2 linked regions of the Styela clava genome follow. The protein of the gene in region 1 interacts with the protein of each later gene in a biochemical or structural test. Links are inferred from orthologs where the notes say so. Each region holds a gene or a part of one and is shown in the gene's direction. Other genes may lie near its edges. The genes, in order: MLX-interacting protein-like and max-like protein X.

The links.
Region 2: the proteins of MLX-interacting protein-like (region 1) and max-like protein X form a complex in vitro, tested with the Homo sapiens proteins (2 studies listed by BioGRID, with this or other methods). The link is inferred for Styela clava from reciprocal best matches to the Homo sapiens genes MLXIP and MLX.

What each region holds. Positions count from the first base shown.
Region 1 is NC_135255.1:14,831,063-14,843,002, forward strand, and holds the start of MLX-interacting protein-like, read left to right. Parts: upstream 1-7,354; 5' UTR 7,355-7,620; coding exon 7,621-7,672; intron 7,673-8,667; coding exon 8,668-8,840; intron 8,841-9,454; coding exon 9,455-9,549; intron 9,550-9,841; coding exon 9,842-9,948; intron 9,949-11,940. UniProt on the Homo sapiens protein: Binds DNA as a heterodimer with MLX and activates transcription. Binds to the canonical E box sequence 5'-CACGTG-3'. Plays a role in transcriptional activation of glycolytic target genes. Involved in glucose-responsive gene regulation.
Region 2 is NC_135253.1:16,287,628-16,298,682, reverse strand, and holds max-like protein X, read left to right. Parts: upstream 1-6,284; 5' UTR 6,285-6,629; coding exon 6,630-6,844; intron 6,845-7,438; coding exon 7,439-7,949; 3' UTR 7,950-8,285; downstream 8,286-11,055. Other genes in the region: uncharacterized protein LOC120325823, read right to left, coding at 1-155, 831-1,054, 1,834-2,051, 2,652-2,775, 3,133-3,225, 3,648-3,764, 4,287-4,415, 4,781-4,840; uncharacterized protein LOC120326434, read left to right, coding at 8,864-9,067, 9,870-9,984, 10,263-10,435. UniProt on the Homo sapiens protein: Transcription regulator. Forms a sequence-specific DNA-binding protein complex with MAD1, MAD4, MNT, WBSCR14 and MLXIP which recognizes the core sequence 5'-CACGTG-3'. The TCFL4-MAD1, TCFL4-MAD4, TCFL4-WBSCR14 complexes are transcriptional repressors.

The sequences.
Region 1 (11,940 bases):
CGAAACTAAATACCACGTTAACCTCCGGTGCCTCGAAAATGTCGTGTCCCACTTCCCAATGGAACCAGTGGCACACAACATTTTCGAGACACCCCAGATTGTGTAGTGATTTATTACGCACAGAAATTTTAAAATGAATACATTCACCTATGAACATTGAACTTATCTTGGTCAGTTTTTGGGTCTAATGCAAGCCAGTTTTACAGCTAAACTGACGCCTGATTATTACCTAATAGGGATATTCCAAATAGAAACAGGCATTTACCAATGTCGTATTTTCTGACTCGGGCATTGTTGAACTATTTGATATCGAGTAAAAAGTAGAATCGCATTATAAAAACCGCGAAATATTCGTAAAAAGTACCGAGAAAATACGTTAGAAAAATTCGTCATGTGGAATATAACTCTGCAATTCGGAATTTTTCGTAGAAGTGAGCGATTTCACCTTTTTTAATCGCTTTGGTAGTTAGATGAGTTCAAACTTTTGTTGTTATTTCCGATATAGAAATGTTGGAACTGCATTGCTAACTTGGGCTGATTTTTTATCGGGTAATAAAATATTATTATCCTATCAACGCTTATCAGCTAGGTCTTAAATTTATTAGATACAAAGAAGCAAATCAACGAACCAACTTCGATTACTCGTACGTTTTATCGTCTATTTCGATACAGATGGCGGGGTCTTTGTAACCATTTCCTGTGATTATTAGCCAAATACAGAATCAAAGGTGAATAAAGTGTGTATCTGTAGTCAAAGCGTGATTTTCAATAAAACTAAACCCCGAAAATTTCCGCGCATACATTTCTCAGGATAAACATTTTTTGGCCTCGAAACGAAAGCACTTCAATAATAACGGTATAATGGAAACAAGTGCGACACGTGAAACACCAGATATGTACAGCGGTGTTGACACTATCAGCTTTGCGATGATAAAATAACGTATCAAGCCAGTTATCCGCCATTCAACCCAAAATTATCACGGATTATTCGCAACCGGGATATTTTGAATTTTGTTATCACTGTTGGACTTTAAACAGTCGAAACACAATCTGAGAATTTGTGTACGAATTTGTCATCAAATCGTTATCAAAAATAAAGATATCAGTACAAACAAACAACAGTTTGGTTAAAAAGGTACATTTGTTAATATTGTACTTTGAAAACGCTTGTTAACTTTTTATTATTATCAACAGATCGATCTTGGACGAATTATGATCAACAACAGTGTTGGACGAAATTGATGAAAATGTAGACAATCATGATAAGGTGGATATTGTTGTAAGCGGTCTGGCAAGGAATTGAGTCTTCGGAGCCATATTCTTTGGTACAGTATTTTTCACTACATTGATAACAAAAGATATCCCAAAAGATTTTTGAGTTAGGAAGACTAATGCCGGAAAAGTTACTTTTTATATCAGGAGAAATGACTTTCAAAACTTGCAGCATATATTCGCGGAAAAATTCGCCTTTAACACACGGGCGATTCTTTTTAACGATGTTGCGAGCTACAATATAACTGGCCAATAACGTAAATTCACTTTTATTTAACATTTTTTTGAACATTTTTGTTTGACGTTTGTATGAATTTAGCAATGAATTAAATTTTGAAATACGCGCGTCAACTGATCATAATCTGAAGAATGCTTCGTCTCTTAATGACGGCTAATGTTGTATTCCTTCAGAACTGGAATATTTTGTTGGCCAAGAAGACAAATCGCTGAAGTTTTATTCTATTCAATAAAAAATATGAACGCTGCCATTCATCTAAAAATCGTCTGTTTTTTGTGTCTAGTTTCCGTTTTGTGACATCTTCAAGCTTTCTTAATACCGCTGATACTTAAAATACTGTCGTATGTAATCCTAATGCTGGTACGTATACAAAAGATATCGGTGTAATTGAATAGTTACGAAATACTCGTGCTTAAACTGTGATAATGGTGTAACAATTGACGGTATCTAAAACGCGAAAAGGTAAACACAAAAAGTGTTAAACGTATTAGTATTTATTTGCAGTTAAAATTCAACCATTTCACTTAAGTTCGGCGGGCCATTTCAAGCCGTTACGCGGACCGCGGAAAGTGAAATTTTAGGATTAGGTGTTCACCCCCTATAGGGGAGTGTAGGGAAATCACTGTGTTACACGCTTATGTTCTAATCTGAACCATTGCCCTGACTCCACATAGGGGAAAGTGGGGAAGGTTGGGACACTTTTTTTCTTTTTCATATTTTGAGCCCTTTATTCTGCACATTCATATGACTTTGCGGGATTAATGCAGAGAGGGGTAAATGTAGTTTGTATTCAGCGACTAAGAAATTCCCTTGCGACACACATCTTACCACCAAAATGCTTTGAAAAACGTTTGTCAAGTGTCCCACTGTACCCCACTTGTGGGGCACATTCGGACAGACCCTGGGGCACAATGGGTCATTCTGTTAAAATTCAACGAAGTATGCCCTTAAAAATAAGCAATCAATCAGCATAATCGTCTAAAGAACAGGGAGACCTCAAATTTGAAGATTTAAGATTTTTAAAATCAATGTTCAACCGAAATATTTCAGATATTTTACCAAAAAATTCGCTTACAAATTAAATTATTTTCTAATCCGAATCTAAATATGGAAATATTTTTGATTCTCGAATATATTTCATATTGGACCATGAGTCGAAAGATACCATAATGTTACATAAAAATACAACGCATCCATCCACTCGCCAACGTTTTAAATATTTCACAGTGGACTATAGCTGAAAGATATTAGACCAGTGATTCTCAAACTAGGGTTTGAGAGCCGCATGCGGCTCTTAGCAACCTTTCCTGCGGCTCTCGTTAATGCTTATTACTTATCGATCTTAAGATCGGTAAGTATATTGATAGGTATTTGTCTGTATGTATGTCTGTGTGTCTGTTAGATGCACGCGATATCTCACGAAAGCGAGATTGAATCTGCTCCAGATTTTGCATGTGCATTCATCTTATCTCGGACCAGAAGCCTATTGATTTTGGGCGAATTATGTCGTATAATTAGCGAGTTATCAATCAATTATTGATATAGTGATCTAGATTTTTGTAAAGCGAGAGAATTTTGAAACCCGCTGAGTGTGTGTGTGCGATGCGCAGTGCGCAAGTTACAAGAGCGGATGAATCGAAACTGCAGTTTCTGTTTTGGGGGATCCCCTAACTATCGATCGATAAGTCTTCGGTTTCCAACCGATATTCTCGTTGTTTATTTGCCGTGTTTATTTGCGTAACGTTGACTAACCTACAAGATGCACTAGTTACGCAACAGTAAACGTTTTCTGTAATCATTGGCTTGCTTCCATGGATTTTCAGTGTTTGTCGCATTCCCACATATTACCGGTATGTATAAATCAAATGCTCAATGATTAATTCTAGAGCATTTTAATTTTGTTCCAGTAATCGAAAATAGTCCCGAAATATCTGGCGATTATCTCAAGCAGCATCCTCCACGATTACGACCCGCTTTGACAAACTTATTAGAAATCAAAGCCAAATTAAATGGCTGTTAGTCTAGGGTGGGCAAAATCGAATCTTGTTTCGAATCGAATAATTTGAATATTTTTTATACATTTTATGGATCCAGAACATCAGAGGCCGATACACTATTTAGAAATTGATAAAAACATTGAAAAGTCGGCAAAAAAACTTTTTTTTTACTGGTTAATTTCATCATAATCACTGATTGTCACCGCGATCGTTTTGGCAGCGATAACCTAAAGTTGGTATTCTATATTCCCGCCCTTTCTCGTTTTTTTTGCAAGAATAAGCGGTCGCCGAATATCGAAGATTTATATTTCTAGTATATCCTAAAGTTCACATCAGCGACAGCTGTTGAATACATTAAGGGTTGATTTCAAAACCAAATTAATTTTATTCTGAGTTTAATCCTCTGCCTTGGATTTGATTTTCCCTATCACCTTGTAAATTAATTGTGCCTGTTTAAAGTGAACGGTAACCGAGATGCAGATATTTAAACGATAATTGAGTTTCTCATGCGTTTCTATGGTGTTCGTGTTATTTTAGTATTGGATAGATAAACCTAGCAAATTTACGATTGCGTGAATCCTGAATGTTGATTTAAAATAGCGATTAAATAAATTGACAACAAAGGCATTTCTAGGCCTTTGTGTCTAATAGAGGGTCAGACGCTAATTATACCTAATCATTCAAGTTTTAACGTTTTTTTTTCAACAAAACAACACCCCGATGGGTATTATACCTAAAATACTTTCTGAGTAATGCTCAATTTTCTTTACGGAATTTGCAAATTCAGCACTTCACCTAATGATTTTGATCATGTCATGCTATAAGGCTTAATTATTACTGCCCAAATGCTTCAAAATTTACCAATTGTAATCATTTTCGACGATAATAGACGCAACAATTCGTGAACGAGTCAGTGTGCATTGTCACAACAAAATTCACGATTGATTTTACGTTCTACTCTTGGCTCAACGGCCATGCATGGCTGAATAAAATGTTTACATATTCAAAACATTACTTGGCCAAGGATGGAAGGGATCACTAAATAGCTAATACAAAGTGCTTTGAATGGAGTAAGACATGACATTTCTTATCTGGTTACAACTTAATGAGTATTTTTCATACAAGTAACTCATACCAGCTTTCGAAAAAACTTTTGGTCATTTTTAAATCTATGCTATTTACATAACTAGAGTTTTCTAACGACCTAAAATAGCCTTTTACACAATGAAACGCTGAAAAGTCATTTTAACATTTAATTTCAATCAACTTTATGTTCGGTAATGCAAGAAGTGGCCAATGACATGACACCAAGCATGCGGAGGTTAAAATCTGAGATATTTATTTTAAATACCTAATCTGGTTTGATGTTTCTAAATTTACGGAACGGTCGGTACGTTTTTTTGCAAAATAAATATTTGAAACGATACGTCAATTGCAATGACAAGCATTTAACACCAAAACGCAAGGCAACCACTTTTCAATTTTTTTTTTCTGATAGCGAGCGCCTTTGGGAAATCTCGCACAATTTATCATTCAGGTGGAGACGCGCGAGTTTGGTGTCCAAGCAGAGCGGCGCAGGTCACGTGGTACCGGATATTCGAAAAGTAAAATTTTATTATTCGAATATTTCGACCAGCTCTAGTTGTTACGATGACTTGGTATTTTAAATTCGCGCTTTTAGGGTTTGTTGCTATTTTACCTTGCGTTGTTTGTGTGCGGCTCTTCATAACTTTGAGGTTTGAAATGCGGCTCTGGGACTAAAAAAGTTTGAGAAACACTGTATTAGACGGTGATTTGTCACGTTGAAAAGGCTAAGTTAGAAAAAAGAAAAAACCGGACCGGTGAAATTTTAGTTTCAACCCCCCAAAACCAATTTCACCTCATAGCTTGCGTCGCTCTTACCCGTCCGCTGTCCGTTTGCGGGGACGTTGTAACTCACCGAAGGGCGGATTGAAACATCAAACCGCGGACCGGATTCCGAATATGGTATTAGTGTGAGAGCTGATTTTCCACTGTGCCCCATGTCCCAACGTGCCCCACCTTCCCCTACTTCCGTTCGCGACCCTGAGATACAAACAAGCGAAGAAATAAAAAAGCAAACCCAGTTTCGTCAGGATTAAAAGAAATGACCAGAATTTTGTACATCATTAGCTTGGTAGTAGGCTACGTATATGTCTCTTTATAACATTGCAGACACAAACTATGGTATTCATTCAGAAAGTTCGCCAATACGCGTTCATTTTTATAACGGTAAAACGATTGCATTTTTTACTGCTACAAAACGACGTCTTGTGAACTGACTTCAGTGGTTAAATGTGCAACAACTGTGATTGCTTCATATCATTTTTTTAATTATAATAGGCGATATTACCTATATTTTCTTGATTTTAATCTTTGTGATCATATTTTGAGTGGGGTTTGGGACGGGAAAACGACGGTACAAAAGCGTAAAGCTACAGTTGTATCCCCATTAACAACAACCCAATAACAGAACGATTCATATGTACATAGCATGTCCAAAGACAAAGTGTGATTAGTGAGGTTAGCACCCGGTCACAAATATGACTGGAATGAGCTGTTAAACGTGCCGTCGCGCTTGCATTTTTGTTCTCATGTTTCTTGAATTAGGTTGAGTTCGGGTTGTCCCGGGGGAGATAAGACGACTTAATTATATGGCAAACCACAGTCGGTTACCAGTCCATGTTGGATATGGCACAAGTTTGCCAAAAATTCAGATGCATGGAATTGATGGTGGGGGAAGCCGTAACCGGCCAGCGGTTACGTGAACCACCCCATGGCGGCGAGGAGTTTGATGAGCAGGCGCAGAAAAGTCATACCGTATTGCAGTATATGGGTGTACAATTAGGGATTGCTAAATACGGTCGATGCGTGTCAAATCAGCGATGACAAAATACGGTCGATTCATATTGAATAAGGCTGGAGTCAGATAGTGCGCTGTATACAGATAACAGGTGAAAATTGCATCCAAATCACAGCGAAATATGGTCAATGTGTTCCCTATTTATTAAGCTGGTGTCAAGTCAAGTCTGACGAAACACGATCAACGAAACACGAAACACGTCTGACGAAACACGAAACACGATATTTTTAAAATGCAAGGCAACATGATTGGCTGACTAGTGTCTAGTGTAGTTTCGTACCTGAAGCACTACTAGTGGGCGTAGCATAACAATTTTTGCATATGTTAATCCTAACCCCCACCTGACTGCGCCATCCAAAAATTACGTCATTGTAACGTCACAGTGACGTAACAGAGCCCTTCGAACCATACCAACTGTCAACCACTATAGATCCAAGACGCACAGAAGATCACCCGAAATATAGCAAGCTATTTCTCTCGTTTTCTTGTCGTAACGATCCCGATATGCGAGTTCTTTATCGTCGGCGCCGATGCCATTCCGGCGATCTTAGGTATACTTTGGCAAGCTCTATGAGTGATTTTGACTTCGTGCCTTCGTGGTGAAATTGATAATTTTGTTAATATGTTGCATCATGACATATATATTCCGTGCCAGTAACATAGGTCTGTAGGTACCCAGTGGCCAGTGCAGTGTATAGTGCATTGCAATTTATGATTGGGATCTGGTTAACTATAGTCTGATAGTAGTCTACTGTAGTAGGATTCCAAATCTTTTAGGCATTTAATTCCTAATGAGGCTTTGACCAACCAGACTCTACTTTAGATTAATTAGATATACTAGATAATCAGAAACTGCTCGTATGCTTACGCAATTTATTACACATTTTGAGAGGTGGTATGCAACAGTGCAAAGGGTTTGAACAGAATATTTCTAATTTCCATGCTAAACTGTTGCCATATTTCAGATGTTACTATCATTTTATGCATTCAAATGCACATACTTACAAATGATATTCTAATATACCACTAATTAATCTTGAGAAACTGTGAATTTGTAACATAGAACATAAGATTTTTACTTGGATTATTGGACACTATGTTGGATGTAAACAAGCGTACTAAACACAATATTGAATCGATATGGATTAACATAATACATTTGGCAAATACTGGAAAAGAACTCTCTTTGTGAAAACATCATCAGATAACACTCTTCTCGGTATTACTTCAAGATGGAGGGTATGATTGCTCGCCGCTCACAAATGAATTTGAGGGAACGTAAAGGTTGGATTACATTTTATTCGTGGATTGTCATAGCAAAGCTACTGGATTTATGTTATGGTATAAGATATTGCGATAGGATGAGTTACGATGCTCTCGCACCTCTGATTACCCTGCGCGGGTTTGCAGGTTGGTGCGAGAGTATTGCTGGACTCCTCCTCGCAGTAGTGTGGTTCATGTAATCAGTTGGTCAGTTATGGCTTCCTATACTATAAAGTCCATGCATCTGTACTCCTGTTATACTAACTAGCCTAATCCATTAATCCAGTCATGGCTGTGGTTCGCCATATGATAAAGTCGTCTTATAAATATGTAAATCGTATCCTATGCTAAATAAGTCAAGGAAGAAAAACATCCAACAGTCGAGTGTAAATTATAATGGAAGTAAAAATGGAAAGTGCATTTTATCACTAAACATGCCAATGATGAAATCTAACCACTGGTATCAGATGAAAATGATGAAACAAAATTTTAGATGCTTATATGGCATTGGAGATACTGAATAGCCTATGTAAAGTTAACTTTTGGTTCAAGAACGTATTATAGGTACCGATATATATATGATATCTGATGCTAAATCAGTTTTTGCAACTCATTGTAATAAATAATAATCTAAAATAAATTGTGATTATGGTTTTCCAAAATAGTGTTTTTAATTCATATAATTGCTTATCTGTTATTTTGCACTCGTCAGACTAATATTTTCACTGCATAAAGAAAAATATAGCAATAAACTAATCACATATTACTAATTATACTATTAACATATGTACAGATTTAGAATGTAGCCAAATCCACACCATTAGCTTCAAAAATCAAATATTAAAATCGGTCAAATTTCAATATAAAAATACAATTACAATATATTTAATTTTTTTTTATCTTCAAATTTAATCGCAATTGACATTGAATATGAATTATTAATAAATGAATAATTTTGAAATTAAATTTGCTAAAATTATTTTAATTTAAATGATGGAATTTATTTTTATTCAAAGCTGAGAGCAATGGAGAAGTAATCCACTCAGGACATTTTATGATATCATCTGTAGCAGATCAAGATGATGTTGATGATGACGTTCCCCACGACAGAGATTCTCCGGTACATCATGATCAAGCTATCAGAATACGTGAAGGATATGATTTTTCGGATGTTCGGAAGGAAACACAGGTATAAAATAGCTTCTTTATCGGTTCTAACGGTAAATTTTTTAAAATTCTCGTATTTTGACCGAATGCTAGCTAAAGATGTTTGTGTTAAAAATAAGGTTGAATAGCCCCTTAAGCATACTACATTGTGTAACACAATTATAATTCCTGACTTATAATTATTATATTCTAATTACCGTAGTTATGAACCATAATTGGAGAAAAGTGATTTTTTCAATGTACATGTTAAAAGCTATCAGGAAATCTGGGCAAAAATCTGGAAAATTTTATTATACAGTATTAATAAATTTGATTATTTGAAGCTAAGCCAATCCACAGTTGATGTAGGTTGGAAAAACAGGATATGGAAACCTTCAGTAATGTTGTTTCTATTTTATGCTCAAAAAAGTATTGAGAATGGCAGCAATTATGTTTGTCTGCTATAACAATAACATTAATACCTATCGCATATGTAATAAAAATTAATCAAAAAAATTTTTTTAAACAAGATTTCAGCATTGATCTACTTTCTGTATTTATTTTCAAAATTTCATTTTAGTAGTGGAAGGTATTTTCAATGATAAGTATAGACTTTTTGTATCGTTGCCGTAATTATCTTATTGTAAATATTTGTAGAATACCTATCAGTTTGGACATCGTTCAACAAATCAAATTACTATTGATGCGTCACTATCAAGATTATTTGAATGTATGTCATTGGCATATAGAGGGTGAGTCCCATATCAGACTTCTATTCCATTTTGAGATCAGATCTCAAATTCTAATATAAAATGTAGAATATGGCTGAAATAATAGTCATCTGCTAGTAGACCAGATTCTATGATATAAATTTTTTTTAAAATGTAATTCAGTGTTTTTGAACAAGCTTCATTCTTTTTCAAAACTAAAGTGTCCACCTGATTAACTTATAAAGCAAACATTTAGATCTATTTAATGAACAAATTTGTAGAATGAAATGAAAATGTTGGGGCTTGCTTTTATTTCCACTTTTTTTGATTTTAGAGGGAAAGTTGTTTCACCGAAATGGAAGAATTTTAAAGGTTTACGTCTCTCTGTGAAAGATAAGATTCGATTGAATAATGCTATATGGAGAACATGGCACATTCAATGTAAGATATAAATTTGCCTAATACTAATTCGTAGTCTGTAAAAAGATGCACAAAAGTATCAGTTGCGTTGTCTTTATGCACCTTGAAATCATATATCAGTATACATGAATTAGAAATACTTAAACTTATTGCCAAAATTACATGACCATATTTTGTTGAGATGGTTGTTTATTTCAGCCTTCTTTTGTGGATATAAATACTACATACATTATGCTATGTCCTGCAGCAAAATTCTGCTAAGCTTTTAATTTTTAACAAAAAATCTCTGCAACATCGCCAACATGTGTTGTGCAGCAGAAGAAAAGAGTCATTGACACAAATTATATAATGTATTTCAGACTTTATTCCAAACATTTTATTATAACACAATGTATACTTATAACACAATGCATGTATACCGGTGTGTTAGGTTCATTAGAATAATCTATTGATAAAGCATAAAAAATTATGTACTTATTATCATTGGGAAATTAGTATCAACTCGTCATTATGAGCTACAATCACCAGTCTGCAGAATCTTTGTTATCGATATAAACTTTCGATAATGATTGACCAATAGCTGCAGGGGGTGTGGCATCACTTAAAAGTTTTTACAGCTAACATTCATATTATTACGGTCAGTTTCAAATTGGTTCAATTTTGTTTTGAAAACTGGTTTATGAAATTCCTTCTCCTAATTTTACGACAATGACAATGGCTTCTGTCATTTTATATCATTTTCCAGTTTGATAGTCTCAGTTCTATTCATTTTGATTATTATACAGGACAATTTTATGTGATAAACTAGCTGAGTTGCATAAAATTTGAAAATAAAAGTAAATGGCCATAAAGGTTTATCACATAGATAAAAAGAAGAACAAACAGCAGTTTCTCACAATTCACATTGTTTATAGAGTAAACAATAGATATGAGGTTGCGTATTTTTGAAAATATACAATCTTATATTGAGAGATATTTAAGCAAGCAAATAGTTTTTGAATAGTCTTTCAAAATTCATTTGTGTAATTATTGAATTGTTTTTGATGGATGTTTTTCATGGGAGTGCTGGCATAACAGCTGCATCAAACACGAGTTCGTCTGAGTTTACATTCAAATGAGTTTGTTCTTTTACCTACATGTTATTGATTTTCCACTCGACAATGGAATAGTACTACTGTGAAGCTCGTTAGAAATACCATATTTACATATTTACAGAAAAAGAAATACCATATTTAAAAAATTTTTTTTTAATTTTAAACAATCCTAAAAACACCATGATAGTTCCTTTAGTATTGGTTAATATTTTAATTTCGAGAATGAACTCTCAGCTTGGTAGTTTTGTCACGTCAGATTTTGTCTGTGCCTTAAGGCCATGATTACTACCACATTGTATTCTCTTTTACTTGGATTAATTATTACGGAACCAGAACTCGTTATTATTGTTAACCACCCAATTTGGAGCAAAGGTCACATTTTTTTTAAATTTTGTTATTAAAATTACTGTAACACAACTTTCTAGCCATAGATGCATTCTACTGACATCCATGGCCATGTTATATATTGCATATTTTCTTACTTATACAAAACATGTTGTTTTGTGGTGTCTGCGGTTTAGATTGGAAGTTGTGCAATCCTGCAACTACTCTAATGCCAACTGGTATGTTTTGTAAATTGTAATATAATTACATATACTTCTGAAATCAGCATTATCACAAATTGCATCATGTTTTGCTTATGTCTACACGTGTTCAGTAGGCTAGTGCATAAGTTGCCACCCATTATTACCTCATTGGTATTTTTATATTTCCAAGCATGGTTTTTTATTTTGTTTTTCTCAAGATTGCTCATCTTAGCAGAGTACTCAATAGGCAACCTTTTGCAAATAGGAATTAAACGTGTTTTTTTAAATTTATTCGCACTTGAAAGAGATTAACATAAATTTATGTGAATCTCTTTCAAGAGCGGATAAATTCTAAAAGATTCATAATGCAGCCATTAACAATGTTCGCTAAA
Region 2 (11,055 bases), on another chromosome or scaffold:
ACATGCACTTTTCATCATGAACTTGTCGCAAATTTTTTTCTATTGAAGTTTGAGTGTGTAATGCCTCATCTGCTTTCTCCAAGTCACGCATTGATCGCATCATTTTTCTGCAGGAGGTCACGATGGCATTGGATTTCAATTCAAGTGGAGATGAACTGTAAATAAATCTTTGGTCAAAAATAGTTTGTATAGTCAGGCTCGGCAGTTGGCGCATCATGCGAAACGTTAGAAATACACATCTGATTGACTTGTGTGATTTTGCAGGTTTGAACCCCATGAGGAATAAATATGTGTGAAAGAATGGATGGACTCCCTGACGACGTAGGGTGGTTCACATAACCACCAGATATTTGCGACTTTCCCGACCATCAAGTCCATGCATCCAAGACAAATAACAGGGCAACTATTCCGATATCCAACATGGACCGAACAAGCTGAGGTTTCCCATATGAATAAGGCTTCTTATCATCTCTCTCTCTCGGAATAAATATGAAAATAATATTCTATAAAATATGCTGTCACAGTTTTTTCTATTGATTCCCCTATTTTTTCAACGGAGTGTTCTACAAAACTAAATGTTGGCTTGTTCATAAGTTTTGGTAAAAAAAATAAAATATAAAATGAGTGATGAAATCAAATACAAGATTACAGATTGTACATTATTATTTGAAAATATTAAGGCTGATATCTAATCATAGCGTAAAGCAATAAATCAAAAAAACATGTTTGTTTTTTTATTTTCTAAAACCAGATTTTTCAAGTTTTGCCCTTCTGGATTACGACCTTGAACTAAAAAATCAATTTCAACTGTATTGAACAAAATACTTCACCTTTTCACTAAAGTCAAAGAAAGATCCATGGCATATTGAACAAAACCTTCAACACTGGTATGCAGGTTCATCAAATTCATTTTCTTCCTGTTTTCTGCTGACAACATTTTTTTGATTTCATTCAACTTTTCATAAAATAAACCAATTTTCGTACCAGGTAAAAATGATTTCCGAATATTTTTAGTTGTGATAACTTTAACAATGTCTGCGATTGCTTTCCGGACCTGAAAATAAATTACCCAAATTGGGTTGCTGGGTAATATATTACAAGATACGTTATTCGCTTAGGTTTCAGGTATTAATTTTCACATTCAATTTTAATGTAATCTAGATGAATAACTTTCAGTCAAAAATTTAAGGCTTTGATAAAATTGAATATTTCTTTTATGAAAACAGAGCAAAAAAATTCTACTAAAATAATCCTCATCTACATATTACAAAGATTTTGGCATATCCGCAAAATTTATATAACAAACTAATGTTTCAAAGAACTCTCACTGTGTGCAATTCCCACACACCCAGCTGTTCCTGTTGCTTTTTATAGTATCATGGAAAATAATATCCTTCTTGTGAGTTTAGTCAAAGCAAGATATTTAGCCCTATCTAACCCAATATATTACCGATGGAAGACTTACAAGCCGACACTGAAACATCACTAGCATCGTACCATAATCGAAGATTCGTAGGTTCAAATATTGTGAGGAATAATTATGAGAATCGGGATTGCTGGATTACTCGTCATTGAGGAGGGGGGGATGTTTCATGTTTCAACTGATGTTTCATTATGACTTTCTTCACTATCAAGTCCATGTATCTGAAAAGAGTATACATACGACATGGACTTTGCTTCGCTCTATGACGGCGAAATCCTGTCGACTCTCTTCTACCCCGGGATAAATATGAATTGACTTGTGCCACATATAAAACAGCAGGTATAATTAGGTACAGAAGTTAAACCCTAGAAGTCAATTAGTCAACACATAAAATTTTTATATCTATTCACCTGTTCTACACAGAAATCTCTGCCTTTTAATACTTCATCATTGTCGGGATATCTAATTGCCATTTGCAACGCTGCTGTTAGCATGGGAAGAGATTGTCTTAAAGTTGACAAAGAACATTTCAATTTGTATTGTAATTTATCATCCAATAAGTCGTTGCATCTTGCACTTGCAGCTCTGTGGAGATCAGCTGCAGGAATAGCAAAGCTTCGGAACTTATCTGAAATATGAATAAACATATTTGATGTGATTATTCTACTTTTACCGTAAGTATTAGAATTTTTCGATATCTCAAAATTAACATAATCTTTTATTTGTAATATCAAAAATCTTGTATGCACCATGAACTGAAAAAAGCAATAAAACGAGCATACTAAAGAAGCGACACCAATTTTGAACTACACATCGTAAAACTTTGTCTTAGTTCAGCAATGTCGTGTATTGTAGAATTTTCACATTTATCCTACATTTTATTTATATGACGACTTAATCATATGGCAAACCACGGACTCCCGTCCGGTTACTAGTAGTAGTGTCATTTAGGAGAATATTAACTAGGTATTTGTTTGGCAAATGGTTATGTGAACCACCCCACAACAGCGAGGAGTCCAACAATCTTCTCGCATATGATTATCTCTTACAAGATTTGAACCTACGATCCCACACAGGGTAATCACATGTGTAATAGTAAATGTATTCCCAATACTTGGATCAATCATGTGCTTGTCGAGTCATATACGCCGAGTTGAGTATTTGTATCATATTTCTGTGTTTCCTCTCTATATTATATATGTGAATACAAATAACCATACATACATACCATTCAAATTTTGCAATGTGTCAGCAGTAGCAAGAGTTGCAAGACATTCAGAAGTGGACCAACCATAACTTGCAATTTTTCGAACTTCAGCATCATCAATAGAAAGAAGTAAATGCATCATACACTGTGACAAAATGAGATTCCATTAAAAAAGTGATGCCAGTCTATGTATCAGTCAGTAGTATGTTGTATAATATATTGGCTATTGAACACAGCAACAAAGAAGGGATAATATGTTACGAAAGCTTTTCAATATCAATTGTATACAAGCATAAAATTTAGGTTATGTAATCACTCGTAATTTTGCTTGGATATCAGTCTCGTTTTTCTTCTGCGAGTGCACACAAACTCGCTTTGCGCGAATATCCACAAAAAAATAAAAACTTCATCCTGAGTGCATTAATATAATACCAGAAGTTTTAATTTTCACTTTCTCAGACAACCATTACGGTAGATAGAGCAAAATTAGCCAAAAACTTACTTGATTCAACTCAGAAAGACATCCAGGAACATCATTCTGATAAGGAACTGGTGTTTTTAGCTGGTAATCAGGTTTTGTAGCCGAACACAATATCTGTAGAAATAATATCAATCAGATTTCAGTATTATGACTTCTACACTTCTATGGAAAATCATTCAATACTGCAAAAAATCTTACATTATTTAAAAATACATCCTAATTTATAGTTCGTAAAATTTGACATAAATTGTATCTATTAATAACATCCACAACAAAAATATTCAGTTTGATTATCTGATTTTTTTGAAAATTATGTTCCATTCTCAAACTATATTTCCAATTTTTTGCAGATGCAATTTTTGGACATTACTAATACTAATCGCAGTTACATTCTCAATATGTTGAAGACGACGATTCAGAATCAGATGATCTTTTTTTTAAAAACTATTCCTTTTAAGCGGATTCTTCTTGACATATTTAAGTGTGGCAATGAAATATAATCGATAGAGTTCCTATACAATAATAAAACAACATACATGACAACACAGAACTAAACTTTCTCCGGCAACAAGTAGATTCTGAGACCCACAATCTATTTCTTTCTTTACAACATTATCCTTCGCATATTCCAGTGTCACAGTTTGTTGGCAAACCTACAGGAAATTATTAAAAAATTTTTAATTAATATAAAAAATACAAATATACAAACCATTACCAATGATTATTATCCAGTATTAGGTACCTATTAAGTCAAAAAAACCTGGTGCCTTACAATACTTTTAGGCACAGGTCTTATATAGTTGGTCTTATAAAGTTGAACTGCTTTGCGACGTTCCTCTACACATGACTATTGAAACACCCACCCTATCTCTAATAAATGACAACTCAAAGATTTCATAATTGATTTAATAAAACCTTTCGAGGAATGCCTTGTTCATGACTCTTGTCAAACTTCGAAATGCTTTAACTACGTTAATATTTAACAGAATAAATTTATTTTATTTCACGAATAGGAAAGAAGTTTATCTGACGATAGACAAAGGATAAATCAAATCTGTGATAGTCGCGAGAATGGCTTGGAGATCTGACATGAAATTTGCCACATTGGGCGCTGACATATAGCAGTCGTTGCAATCACAATGCAAATCAATGACACTAAATACAAAACTGAATACCGTTGTCAAGTCTTTTAAACTCTCAACAATGTCTTCTGACATAGAAACCAATGGTCGTAAAATATTTATCGACCCTCCTGATGTCTCTGACTCATATTTTTCAGATGTCACAATCAACAATTCAGTGATCTGAAAAGTATTAATGTCTATGTTAACCGAAAATCAGTAACAACAGGACTAAATCAGTACTTTTTCAAACCATTTTTCCCATTGGTGATGAAGTGAGGTAAAAGTCCATAAACCCCAAGTTGCTAATCATGGGTCGGAATCTTGATTCGAGTCAATACTGAGTCTTACTGATGGTTAGCTGATGACGAGTCCGAGTCATTATATTTAGAGGACCTGAGTCACTTAAAATCTTTTAAAAAAGGTCACTTGAGTGCAACTCGAGTCAATGACTCAAGCCTCGCAAACACTGCTCATCACTGATACTTTAAAATTCTGGGTTTTTGGATTTATACAGGATCCTAAAAAACAGAAAATTCACACTGCACCTGTGATAGTATTGGAGTAAATATAGCTTGCAACGACTGAGTAGGAACAATGGAATCCATATTGTTTATTTTTATTCCTACATAAAAGACTTGATTATTTTCAGTATTTCACTACTTCTCCAGAACCACGATCACTAAACTTCCAACTGTTCGTTGCTTGATTGCTGAATCATTCGTAATTTCGAATATCACGGCCATTTTTTGTCAGAAAATACTGTTAAAATACAGTATTGGTGATAGTTTACTTCAAACAGCGTCCGTAACAACTGTATGACTCGATGCGTAGCATTCATCATATGACGTCATCGATTCATTCATAAAAATCGACAAAAAGGGAGCTGTGTTCCCGTTTGTGATGTCATAATTTTTTTTTTTTTTGATAAATCATGAATAGTATGTGGCTGTAATATAGGATAAAATTCAGTAAAATGATTGAAATCGCCTTGAATGAAAGTAGTCTATAACTTCATCGCTTAGGAAATTCAGAAGTGGTGAACATAGATAGCGCCTATGCTTGACTTCTCGGTTACTTTATTATGTTTTAGTTGCATCATTTACTGCGATGAAATATCCAATGTCAAAAGTTGGAGTAGTCTATTTGATAAAAAGGGTAACTTAAGTTTTTGCTTGTATTCCATATATTTATGTATGTTTCATATTTTCATTTTTGAAACACTGAAAACGAATATCGCTCAATAAATATCCCGTATTTTTTCACATTGATTGATAAACTGAATAATGATTGATTTTTGTGTGAAATTCCAGGAAGATGGTTGTTGTTTGACATTTACGGTTTGACTAAAATCAATCGGTTTATCACCGGCGCTAAGGCAGCCGCCTGTGGCGCAACGATAAGATACGATGCTGCCCTTTCTCCTTAGCCAGCAAATAGTTGCTCTGCAGCCTGGAATGGCGGTCGAGAGTGCTTAACCTGTTTCCAATTATGTAATCGTACTAGCCAAGTTGAATTGGGTTGCGTTTCCCAACAGGCATACCGGGAGGAATTCCTCGTTAGGTAGGAAAGAGTAAACAGTGAATGAGTGAGGGAAGAATAAACAATTCCAAAAAAGGCGAAGCTGCGAAAGGAGAAATTTAACAAAACAAGTTGGGTAGGCTAGAAATACCTGAATACTGTAATATGCGTAATTAACACTCACACTTTTTATAACTGTACCGTACTGCCGTAAGGTTTGAATTGCTCATAATACAGTAATAGTTATAATGTGTGAATAAATATGTAATGTAATATTTCCTCTTCCAGTCTTCCAAAACAGTGAATTTCTTTTCTTACTGCAACATACTGCTGTATTGGGGAATTTTCCCGTTGTTAGTAGAAACCTTGATCTAAATTTAGTGCTTCTTGGTACCATACTCATCAACTAAGTCTGTAAGTGTGCCATATTGTAAGGCGGTTTGCTACCATGTCTTATTTCAATTTTCTTACGAAACATAACGGCTTATTTTGGGGGATGGTTTTTTATTTTTATTCCTCGAAAACAAAATTACAAAGTAGAGAATTACGAGATTTTCAAATATGAAAAATATGAAAATGATATTCATTTTCTTATAACTAACACATTTTTATTTAAGAAAAAATTCGCGCTATCGACTTGGTCTTATTTTAGGTTTTTATATTAAAATTATTTTTAAAATTTAGCCTAGATCCTATTTTCAGGCTAGGTCTTATTTATGTATTTTCGGGGAAACACGGTATTATGCAAAATATGTTGGTCGGCAACCTTTTTTATTATTCTATTATCAGATTATTGTGTTACGTTTCCAATACCTGAATACAGCAACAGACTACAGACAATTTTTATACTGTAGTGATAGATATTTTAAATGAGTCATGAATTCTTCTGGATTTTCGTCTGCTTCATCAAGTTTCATGGATTCAAGCTATGATCAGATTAGCGATTCTGATGGTGCCAAGTTGGAAATAGATTTGGCATCTCCGAACCATAGTTCAAGTCTGCATTTTTCTAATCCATCAAGTGCTGCTTCGTCAGTTCATAACACAGATGATGAAGATGATGACAGCTCTGAACGCCCGCTCAAGTTCAGGTAAATTGCTATGTTACTTATAGTTACATCTTCGAATAGTAAACTTTTGTATTTATATTTATAATTTAGTTTGTTTATAATGTAACATTACACGGTAATGAACATTTTATAGTTTGTTTATACATGATCATACTGCCACAAATGTGGTGATACAATAGCTTATGATAACTATATACATGTAACCAGGGCAGCGGAGTCGAGAGCTCCCCATATTTTCTCTAGAGCAGGTGTCAAAATTCTGAATTCCCCAGATTCAGAGTCGGAATTGCAAAATTTCAATGGTGATAAAATAAGTCTAAATTTCTTCATTTTATTTTACTGACAGTCTATTAATAAAAGATGCTGGTTTACACCAAAAATTTATTTCTGGGATCGGAATGGGAATTTTTTGCAAACCAGAATCAGAGTTGAATTATTGTCAGAGTCAATTTTCCATATACTCACTCCATTTACTCAACAATGCATGTAACGTAGCAGAAAAAGTTTTTGTACTTTATGTAAACTTCATCGATTTGGGAAAGAAAAATATGACTATTCGACTATTTATTGCAAAGCGGAACTTCCTCGATCATGTAGTTATTTTTTCGCATACAGGCAAAAAAGAAGAGAAGCTCACACACTCGCTGAGAAACGTAGGAGAGACAACATAAAGAAAGGATATGACGAGCTTCAAACGCTCGTCCCCAAACTTCACTCAGAAACCGTAGGATCACAAAAAGTCAGCAAGGCTGTTATGCTTCAAAGATCAATTGATTACATAGAATATCTGGAAAAAGAGAGAAAGAAACAGACAGAAGATTTGGAAAAACTTCGTAAAAAAGAACAATCTTTATCGATTATGAAATCAAATTATGAGCAAATAGTCAAAGCTCATCAATCAAACCCAGCAAACTCCAATCACCAATTGTCAGATCAAGTAAAATTTGAAGTATTTCAAAGAATCATGGATACTCTTTTTGTTTCATTTAATTCATCAATATCCGTGGCTAGTTTTCAAGAACTGTCCCATTGTGTATTTAGTTGGATTGAAGAACAATGTACTCCACAATCATTACGAGATATTGTAATCGATACTTTAAAGCAGTTGAATCCACAATTGCGATGATCTTTCCTTTTCATTTTCTTACAGGAAAAGCATATAATATGTAATCTTGTTGCATCTTATTGACTTTGTTATACTGATACCGAGCAAACGTTTTCACCAGTTTCACTTAAAAATAATTATATTTACTGAAAAAAAATGAAGATCCTGGTTACCAGTTTGTGTAGAAGTCTGTGAATCCCCCGAGTCATATTTCCTTAATTTTCGAGTTGATCCAATTTAAAAAGTTGACTTGTCAGAAATAATGATTTTCATGCTATTTTTTGTCATATCGAGTCCCTTTCTTCAAGATATGATTTACAATAGATAATTTCTTGTTGATGAAAATGTTCTTAAATGTAGTGTGCCTAAATACCTATTTAATAATGATTTAATTTTTTGTATTAATTATCACAAATATAATCTTGCGTTTAAGTAATATATCATTCTGCTTGAATTTTACGACTTATAAATTGCAAGTTGTTTTCTTATAATGAGATAAGGTACAGTTCCATCATTGTGACGTGGTTTTCTGGAAAATCACTTAAGGAGAAAGTACAGTACTTTATTGGACAATTATTATGATTGTGATCATTTTGTAGTGATGTGCATTTAATTAAAGGATAAGTGGAAATGGAGGAAAGAAAAATGTAGTTGGCTTATCAATTCATATTATGCATTATACTAATTCATAAAACCACTGTAAAAGTTGGAATGTTGCGCAATGCACAAAAATTCTTACGTCACTGACAATAGCATTTCTAGACAAATTAATTATGTACCAGAAGCGGAGCTTCCTATCATTGTGTTATCGAAACAATTAGTCAGTGCAGCATATGGAAGTATAGACAATATGCATGGGCAGTTGCGATCGGGAAATGTAGTGTACTTACGGAGTTAATTTTCATGTCAAATGTGGTAGGATAACCCAATTCAGAATGTTGATGAGAATACGCGTTTTGATTTTATTAATTGTATTCTATTTTGTGTATATGATTATTGGTGCTGCGGTATTCATGGCTATGGAAAGACCAGTGGAAAAACAACGATGCAAGGATGCAAAACAATTTAAAGAAAAATGGTTGAATCAAACACGTAATAATGAAGGTTTTACAGAAGAAACTTTAAACAAGTTTATTAAGGTTAGATGTTAATTTGACTCTAAAACTACAAAATTCATTCTTAATATCAGCTCTTTTATAGAGAGTATATCTTTATTGTTGTTATCGGTATGAATGTTCATAGTAGTGCTTTTCAGAGAAGAATTTTGCTTTACCTGATATGTTGCGATTATTATTATTGGTGAGCATACTGCCTTTCAAAATTTTTCAATTCATATATGGTTTATGTTTGGGCTAAATATACATGACAAAAAAAGTTTTTGGGTAATATTGCCATAATCGTCAACTCAGGAATAATAGTGTTTTTGTGCTTTTAGAGGCTTTTGATTAAGTAATGCCTGATTCTAAATTCCTGCCATCGGGAAGGATATTTTTTTGAAAACTCAGATATTTCGACCGTAAAATATGCAAATTCAGGGTAATATTACATAGTATGCAGGCTTTTTAGGTGTGAACCTCCAGAGGGCTCTCAAGTAATAAATAATTGGTACTTAGTCCACCGATTATAATTCATTTGTTTTGTTCAGCTTGTTTATACATAAGTGATAAGCTTTGCTGGTAGGTAATTCGAAATATTTCAAAGAAAATCCTGTTTTATTTATATATTTTGTAATTAAAAAAAAAAATCAGATAATAAAATACCAGGCTGGTCTTCAACTATGTCCTTCAACCCTGCCACTGGGCCAGTTCTGTTATTGGTAACGCTACATCTGTAGCTGCCCTGATGAAAGAGCTGGGAACATTCCGTGCAACTCTTTGTGGCTGTGCCACCTATCAAATAAAAAAATTTCATTCTCACGTTTATTATTATTGTATTTCCTAGAATGTCACCATATTTTCTGGTCATGGTATTAGTCTGCAGGGTAATGTCAAATGTCCAGCAAATTGGGATTTTCAAAGTTCATTGTTCTTCACAGGAACCATCATCACAACCATTGGTATGATTTGCTAATTTATACTATTTTTCTCAAAAATATCTGAACTCTGCTCTCACAACCTATGAATTATAAATCTTGAAAATGTCGATATTATTTTATTCTGTTATACCAACATTGTCAGATTCTCAAACACTTTGTTAAACATTTTTTAAACCAGCATTTCCCAACCAGGAAGGTAATTTTGATTTGTGCTTAAAATATTTAACTTTTAATGCAAATCTACAAATCTCATACGGACAATGAAAGTTTTAATCATTACGGTAATTCTATATTTTCAGGTTATGGAAACCTTGCCCCAACACAATGGTACAGTCAGATATTTTGCATATTTTATGCTTTAATTGGAATTCCTTTGTTTGCAATCATGTTTACTGGAATAGGAGAATACATGTCTGTTCTGGCTGAGGAAGTTCTGAAAAAGTTTCAACCACCACAAAATGCTCCAGAAGAGGTAGACACATAGATTTTTTTACAAGTCATTTAAAAAGTTCTTTTTGGACACGAAGTGGACATAACGATCGTTTCAAAATTTTGTTGTTATTGTTATTTGTCTCCGTCTCCATTTTTAAAAAATCGCTTTTCTCTTCGAATACTGGACCAATTGCTTTGAAATTTCCAGTGGTTAAAGATAAAATTTTTCTCCAGAAGGCTGTTACTTTTTTTTTCGCTATGACGTCATCAAAATTATTGCCATTGGGTGGCGCTACGTGTCCATATATTTGAGCATAGCTCTCTTGTTAGATTAAATGATTGCAAAGTTAGTTGATCTGATATCTGTCCACTCCTTTATGATAAATATTGAAATCTCATCCTGATATAAACCGGTTTCCCAAACTAGCGTCCCAAACTGATGACTGCACAGGGGGTCCGCAACGATATGAAAAGAGTCTGATTGAACTTTAATGATTGATTTCAATCAAAAAGCCATCTCAATATTTTGTTGAGAGTTGCGGAAGAATATCCATTGCTGTCAGAAAAGGCAATTGAAATTTTATTGGCTCTTGCAACGACTCTACATGATAGAGTCAGACCTATTAGTTTGCTTGTCACAACACAATTGATAAATTGTGC